Neodiprion lecontei: one gene and its partner. The protein of the gene in region 1 binds, or shares a complex with, the protein of each later gene. Links are inferred from orthologs where the notes say so. Each region holds a gene or a part of one and is shown on either strand. Other genes may lie near its edges.

Evidence for each region.
Region 2: GATOR complex protein WDR59 (region 1) and nucleoporin SEH1-A share a complex: the UniProt entries of both Drosophila melanogaster proteins name them as parts of the GATOR complex. The link is inferred for Neodiprion lecontei from reciprocal best matches to the Drosophila melanogaster genes Wdr59 and Nup44A.

The regions. Positions count from the first base shown.
Region 1 is NC_060264.1:23,548,825-23,552,754, forward strand, and holds the start of GATOR complex protein WDR59, read left to right. Parts: upstream 1-1,065; 5' UTR 1,066-1,090; coding exon 1,091-1,216; intron 1,217-1,341; coding exon 1,342-1,391; intron 1,392-1,460; coding exon 1,461-1,596; intron 1,597-1,651; coding exon 1,652-1,865; intron 1,866-1,940; coding exon 1,941-2,074; intron 2,075-2,285; coding exon 2,286-2,435; intron 2,436-2,527; coding exon 2,528-2,687; intron 2,688-2,778; coding exon 2,779-2,858; intron 2,859-2,995; coding exon 2,996-3,062; intron 3,063-3,145; coding exon 3,146-3,354; intron 3,355-3,433; coding exon 3,434-3,697; intron 3,698-3,774; coding exon 3,775-3,928; intron 3,929-3,930. UniProt on the Drosophila melanogaster protein: A component of the GATOR complex, which functions as a regulator of the amino acid-sensing branch of the mTORC1 signaling pathway.
Region 2 is NC_060260.1:39,269,498-39,273,427, reverse strand, and holds the start of nucleoporin SEH1-A, read right to left. Parts: upstream 2,324-3,930; 5' UTR 2,150-2,323; coding exon 2,039-2,149; intron 1,872-2,038; coding exon 1,715-1,871; intron 1,639-1,714; coding exon 1,377-1,638; intron 1,289-1,376; coding exon 1,055-1,288; intron 942-1,054; coding exon 651-941; coding exon of another isoform or gene 599-650; exon of another isoform or gene 84-598; intron 1-83. Other genes in the region: anillin-like protein 1, read left to right, coding at 3,657-3,686, 3,855-3,930. UniProt on the Drosophila melanogaster protein: Probable component of the nuclear pore complex (NPC). Involved in maintaining the localization of another nucleoporin Mgtor to the nuclear envelope of early meiotic female germline cells.

The DNA of each region.
Region 1 (3,930 bases):
ATGAAACTGGGTCTAGTATAGATACTTGAGACTTTCACCATTGAGTTTTATTCATAGCTGGTAGCTCCATTGTGCTTTATGATTTTGATATTGGATAAGAATCGATCTTTCTTGACTTTTTTTGTCTCGTGGAACAGGGTCGAGATGAAAAAATCACAATGATATTGGAAAGAATTAAGTATCGGAAGGTTTGCAAGATGCTGCCGCGATTGTTAACGCGCATGATTTTAGTGGAAATAAGATTTCACGTTACTGTTGATAGCAGTTGGCTCCCACGACGTCCGTGATTTGCTCCGGTGTGTCCACTCTCAATCACTAAAAATGCACGTTGTCAGTTAGAATTTCAAACTTACTCGAAACCGCAAACACAGCAAGGATTACTTATATCGCGCGTACAAACTTGACTCACTCTTTATTATTCCAACCTTTTGGTTAACCATCTCAGACACTCGGGGAATTATGAACTCAATGTTTGTCACTGCTGGCTGATATTTACACACCATTATAGACGTATTATTACGTACACGGAACATTTACCATTAGCAAATCTTTCCGAACTCGGGGAAATGGAATCCGCGATACCTGCACAGCCACATCTGACAGTTAACCTGATATTCATTCGCACGTTTGAATAAAGGTTTATGTAGGTATATTCTGATCAATGCTAAGCCCGCTGTTCGTTCCAAAAGCTCACGAAATTTATTCGAAACAGCGCTGCGTTGAAGCCGTCACGGATAGTCGCCATTTGAAATTCTGCCGGCAACTGTTTTTTCGATTTTGAATTCATCGAATAGCGATGCATGTTGCCAACCCTACGGATGTTGAATGATGACCGCGAGTTCTTGAAGTCTGAAATATGTAATTCTAAAATGTTCAAAACCAAAATAATTAAATTGGGAAGTGTACGTTATGATTATTTAAAAAAGAACGAAATGTAATTATATTTGTTTTTTGCTTTGATTGTAACGTAAAATGACACCCGCAAACTGTACCAATCCAATACCAATCGAGCCTAATTCATCCTATTACACAGGGATTCTGTCATGCCGATCAGATAGTGCTGCACTCTGTCACAAGTTTAAATATTTACATGCGTACACAACGATTCATTATAACCTCAAATTTCATCAAACGATGTCGAGGTCCCCTGTCATTTCTGAAAATGTCAAAACGTTGGGGTAGCGATTATGTGGTCGCCGAGCACCGGGATTTGCAGGTAAGCCAAGCGACTCGCGTCGCCCCCACTAAAAAACTAACTCAAACTAACCACGGTTGCTCAAGATCTTTGTAATCGAGCTTCGCCCCAAACCTCAAATAATTAGCTTTCTCCACATGCACCAGGCCAATACTATGGCGGTTGACACAACCGGGAGCTTCGTTCTTCTGGCCGGGTGAGTTTCAATGCTTTCGACCAGATTCCTATAAAGCCTCTCAAATATACCGATTCATTGGCTCTGCAGGCGAAGATGCTTTGCCGTCAAGCACCTGGACGAAGGCACGGACACCCTGCGAAAATTCCAACGTCAGAGCAAGTACGAAGTTGGCTCTGCCGAATGGAATCCCAACTCTCAGAATTGTCACCTTTGCGCTATATCCGTAAGTAGAAAAAGCATCGATAAATAAGGAGAGGCTCATTGTTTTCTTTCTACAGAGTAACAACAGAGTCGAAATACTCAATTTTGTTGGTGGAGATGGACGTGATCTCACAACGACGCATAGCCTCAGAGCACATACGCGTGTTGTTAGTGACTTGAACTGGCATCCCACTGAGCCTGACATTCTCGCCTCGTGCAGCATAGACACATTCATACACATTTGGGACATTAGAGATCAGCGTAGGCCCTGCTTGTCGCTATCTGCTGTTGGTAAAAGTCCCAATTTTGTTTTTATGTTTCAACAATTGTTACATAATAGTTGTTTGATGAAAAATCTCATTTTAGCCGGAGCATCTCAGGTCAGATGGAACTGTCTGTCCCCACACATTGTGGCCACTGCGCATGATGGCGACATCAAAATATGGGACCAGAGGAAAGGGAATAGTCCGATGCAGTACATAGCTGCTCATTTAACTAAGGTATTAGTTTGGTTTTCTTTCCCAATTATTTTTGTGTGAATGCTTATAAACCGAGGACATTGAACAGGGGAAACTGTAACTTGTGTGGTGCTTGGTTTAAAATGTATAGCACGAACGTCCGAATGTTGTGAATTTTCACAATCGTTTGAACAATCTTCGTATTATTTACTGACTTGGTACATTTGGGATAAGTGGCCTCTTGTCTTTCAAGATACATGGCCTGGACTGGTGTCCTTTTCAACAAAATCAATTGGCGACTTCTAGTCAGGACTGTACAGTGAAAATATTTGATGTCAGTAATCCACGAAGAGCAGAAAGCATTTTGACGACAAGTGCACCTGTGTGGAGAGCCAGATACACGGTAAAATTTAATCATCTGTATTGCTAACTGTATCAAATAATTGCAAGAAAGTCGTGAAAGATTTTCAAAATCTCATTTACGTCTGCTTGTAGCCATTTGGGGAAGGTCTGGTTACAATAGTTGTGCCACAGCTCAGGCGAGGGGAAAATAGTCTGCTACTGTGGAACACCTCGAATCTTACAGCTCCAATTTACACGTTTATAGGGCACACTGACGTTGTGCTAGAGTTTCAGTGGAGGCATCAGAAAAAAGGTATTCCAAGAGGGGTTTTTGCAGTAAAATATTTGATTGCGCCGTATTAAATGATGTCAAAGGGCAACAATAACTTATTTTCCTATCGCAGCACCGAATGACTTTGAATTGATAACTTGGTCCAAAGATCAATGCCTGAGAATATTCAAAATCGATCCATTTCTACAAAAGGTAATCACTATAATCATCATATAATTCAGTTCATAACTCTGTATTGAGAATTCACAAAATCTAAGACTCATGAAACGACGATGTTGCTACTAAAAATTACTTATAACACAAATAAAATCAATCCTTGCACGTTTTAGCTATGCGGACACGATTTGGATGATGGAACATCTGTCTATACTCCGTACACAGAAGACAATAACCTGAGTGAGTGTATCGCAAGCTTCAAGTACGAAATTATGAGGAGAATCGCTATTGTATTTGCAATGACTGGCTAATAAAATTCTCAGGGACGTTACGTTCTATGCAACAGCTCGAGCTTCAAGATACACCGACCGACAGAGAAATGAATTTTGTCATGTCAAAAATTGACGGAGGTAAAATGGGCATAGAGTCGCTCACTTACTCAACAAGCGACAAAGATGTTTTATCGCCGACTCAGCCAAAAACGTTACAGCAAGAATTTTCATTGATCAATGTGAACATTCCAAACATTGAGGTAAATTTACTCGTGATTTTTGCATCGTTTCGATTATTTCCAGACTCACTTGTAATGTATTCTGTGTTTCGCATCTCAGGTGAACGCTATGGATGCAGAGCAACGAAGCTGTACGGTCACAGCGTCAAATAAAAATTACAATGTTATATTGAAAGTAAACTTTCCTGGTAATTACCCATACAATGCGTCACCGACCTTTCAATTCTGTCCTGGAACAACCATAGACAATACAGCGATGGCAAAGCTCTCGAAGGTACTGAAGCAGACCGCTCAACAACGAGTTAGGAAGAATCGATCCTGCTTAGAGCCCTGTTTAAGACAGCTGATCACAACTTTGGAACAGGTATTTCCTTTTGATTTGGTTGTCGAGTTCTCGATTTTTATCATTTGAAGATGATCAATTTCATTCTGCCTAAACAGATGTGCGTCAGCGACGAGACTGAGGGTAAACATCTGGGATACAGGATGCCACATAGTGCTAACTTTCTCAATACGACCGGTGCCATATTTCCAAACTACCAGGATACCTACATTCCTTTTCCGCGGACTTCAGGTGCTAAATTTTGCTGCGTAGGT
Region 2 (3,930 bases), on another chromosome or scaffold:
TGTAAGTAAATTTGGCCGTCTGTTTTAGGAAAAATAAAGAAATTGCAAGATGGGTTACAGGAGAAAATAAAAAGGTGCTCGGGTCTATAGGAATAATATTTATTAAAAACTGGGCTCACATTACAATACAAATATCGAATGCATTAAATGCTAAATAATTGTGATAAACTTACATGGCTCCAAAACTGAGAACGGACATTATGATCTGATGTAAAGGAACTTATTGACGTAAAGTGTAAAATGATATTTTTATACATCTCAAATAAATTAAATACTTTGGTGTAAAACTGTGCGTAAACAAGGGGAAGAGAAAAGAGACTTCTCCATTTTAATACAGAAGTGATTTAATCCAAACAGATCGTTTTTACGACGTATTGACTATTGATTTATTTCTTCAATTCTTTATGATCAAATCTGTTGCTAAAAAATTGATGAGGAGATACGAGAAAAAGAAAGGATGATTACGTAAAGCGGTGAAAATTTTAAGATCACAAATCGTTACTCGCTAATCTGTTCTCAATCGATCAAATGTGAGAGAAAAGTAATGATGTATAAATTATATTACATAATTCAAAACGGAAATATTAATCGTTCTCAATTAGTGCCATGGTACTTGATTAGGATGACTGATGGAACCCAGCTTGTAGTACCTTGTGGTGGATAGCGGTGCCTGAGTTCCTGAGATCGAGTGACTCGGAGGTGTTGCTATCTGTGGAATTTCGGCACTGTGAGCCGAGGTTCCATCTCCCTTCAAAACTGCTACACATTTCCAATTATTCACGTAATTATCTTTCCATAAACGAACGCAGCCGTCATCTCCTGAACTCGCTAATATGGTTCCCATTATGTTCCAGCACACTCGCCACACCGTACAATAGTGATCATCAAATTGGGCAGCAGTCGTAATTTCAAACCGAGACAAACCGCTTTGAGCCGCATCTCTGAGGAGAAAAAAGAACACTTGAGGAGCAATTTTTTTGAATTTTTCAATGCCAATCATCATGCGAGAGTATTTTCTTAAAAACAATTTCTTCCCACTTTTAGCGAAACTTACTGCATTGGTTTTAGCGTTACAATCCGTACATCTTTGGTGGCTATCGCTAAAGTGTGAAAACTACGTCCCAAGTTGGGTGCGAATGCAATATCGTGCACGGGGTCAACGACGTTGGATAATGTCTCTGTTTTTGTCCACCGTCTATTGTTTTCTGAGTATTCGTATATGAAGACCTTGCCGCCACTTGATGCATTCGAGTCGTCGCTGCCAACTGCGAGCATAGGTGGGTGGAGCCTGAAAAAAAAGGAAAAGCACTGCACTTCCCCTTATTTTTTAGGTGTTCAGTTCCAGCAATATTGAAGAAAATTTTGACTATATATACCGCGACAATGAAGGATTCCATGTTAAACAACTGCATGGAAGTTTACAGCTAATTTCATGCTGCAGAGTCCACTGGCTCAGGTTCATCACATCTGGTGCTTCGTAAATTCTGATCACTCCATCCGCGCTACAGGTCGCAAGGAGAAGACCGAGAGTCTTTGGCGCAAACTTAACATCTGTTACTGACGTCCGAGAGTCGACCAAGTTGGTCCGCCGCACCCAATGTCGCATCCCTCGTTCACCGGAGCCTGAACCTTCGCCAACTGAAATTTGATTCGTACAATCAATACAAATGCTCTGCTGCTTATCGTTTTCCAATCCAAGATCAGAAATTTATACCAATTTCTTCCCAGACCGCTGCAGTTCTATCAAATGAACACGTCGCCAAAACCTGACCAAACTCGGGATGCGCCCAGGTTACTTTCCACACAGATCCGCTGTGTGCTTTCCATGATGCTGTCAAGTGCCAGTTATCGTGTTCGTCCTCGTCCCAAACCTAAGAAAAAAACATAACAAAATGAAAGCGTGAACGAGAATACTGCTGTAATATCAATTTTGGCAAAGTGAAGGAGTAGAGAAGAAAATATGTGATTATGCGAATGAAGTTGAGAATATGCGTGAAATGAGCGAGAAATTCGAAATTCGGTTGGAAGCTCTACTCACTTTGACAAACTGGTCGCTGGAACATGTTGCCATGCGTTGGCCATAAAAATCGTAAGCTATGTCATGTATCAGGTCCTTGTGTTCGGCATTTATACTATGGGCTTCAAACATTTTCTACTCTATCATCAACAATCACTTGGATTTAATATTAACAAACCACGCCGCTGTTTTTTCCGCCTCTGGCGTACTTGCAACTCTACTCCTATTCCAACGGAAAACTAGTTTTAAGATTACAGGTTATGATTTCGGATGAGGAAAACTTAAGATTGAGGTTAGGATCGTGATAGAATACGCCAAGTTGAGATGGGATACTTTCGCCTAGCTTTACGCGAATCAGTTACCCGCCCTTCATTTCAGAGATTTATACTCGCAGTTGCCTATATGCAGGCGCAACACAAAATTACACGTCCGCATGAAACATTTACTTAAAAAATTTGTTACTTCCATCTAAAACAATTTTTTAGCTCTACCAACAGCTCGATTCAAAGATAAACCAGAAATGAGTACTTGAAAAAACTTTCGAAGCTTTGTTAATCTCTTGTTTTCATCTATCGGCTAAATCGAATATTTAGTAAATTCCGATAAAACTGTTCATTCGGCTATTCTTACAAAACATACATTTCTCTGTTCACGTAATTGTCTTGAACAGTGGTTCAAGATTTTTCGGACTATTGATTCCAAAATCAAAGTAAGCCTTTTCAAATATAGGAGCAAAATGAAGATGGTTGATTCAATATGATGAATTGAAATGGATTTTGTATTCATCGACGATGGAAAATATATTTTCAATTAGTTTGCTCCAACGTGTAAAATCAGTAAGTTGTATTGGCTCGATATCAACACTTAAACTCGTATTCTTTTGTAGTTCCAATATCACAATATCATATACGGACTAAAGAAAATAAACCAATAATTTATGACTAACATCGTAGTTCTGAATCATCACAACAAATGCACTTGTATAGAGACATGGAAAATTATTATGAATATAAATGCAAAATCAGGGAATTATCAGGCTAGTTGGTCAATTCGATTCTTCAAAGACTCCGAATCGAACCAGAGAAAGGTAATTAAATAATTTAATTCGAAAGTAACATTCACTAAAATTCATGTTATATACAGCGACTTGAGTATAATACGAGTTGTTCATAAATATTCCAAATAATTACTTCACACTGAGATTCGTTGAAAAAATACACGTTCACTTATGAATATCTGTACAACAAAAAAAATTTTTTCATTCATCGTTAAGAACTGATTCATTCTAAAAAGTTTTCACAAACTGCTACAGTCCATGTGTCATATTTCGCGGTCAGTGTTGCACAATAGTACCAGATCTACCTCTAACGCATGTTGACATACAGCAGCGTGTTTTGGTTATATCTACACGTAATAGTGTACTCTTCGAATACCAATAAATGTATTTGAACTTGAGGGGATGACGGTTGACTCATGGGGCCTAGCGAGGTTATTCTCCTTATCTTCCTAGAGTATTTCGCTCGTGCAAATAAAACTACTCCGCTAACGCTGAGAGCTGCCGCATTTTCAAGACAATTTACCATTCTTTGGTGATCCTCGGTGAAGAGTGTTTCGCTGTTGCGTTGTTGTTTCGTCTGGGATGGACTCGACACAGGATCCGTTCACGCGGGTATGTAGAATCAAAAGTAACCGCACACTATCAAAGAGTAGTCGAAAGCCTAATGCTGAGACCGAAGGGTCATAGCAATCGCACGTCCTCGTTGAATTCGAATAAATCATGGTGGGCTCTTTCGAGATCGTTACACCTAGTTATTTTCTAATCAAATATCGTTCTTAGCGCATGCTGCAACGCGCCAGCATGCGTCAATTTCGAGAGGAGAGCTTACATTGCAGTCCAGATCAACTGCAGAGAA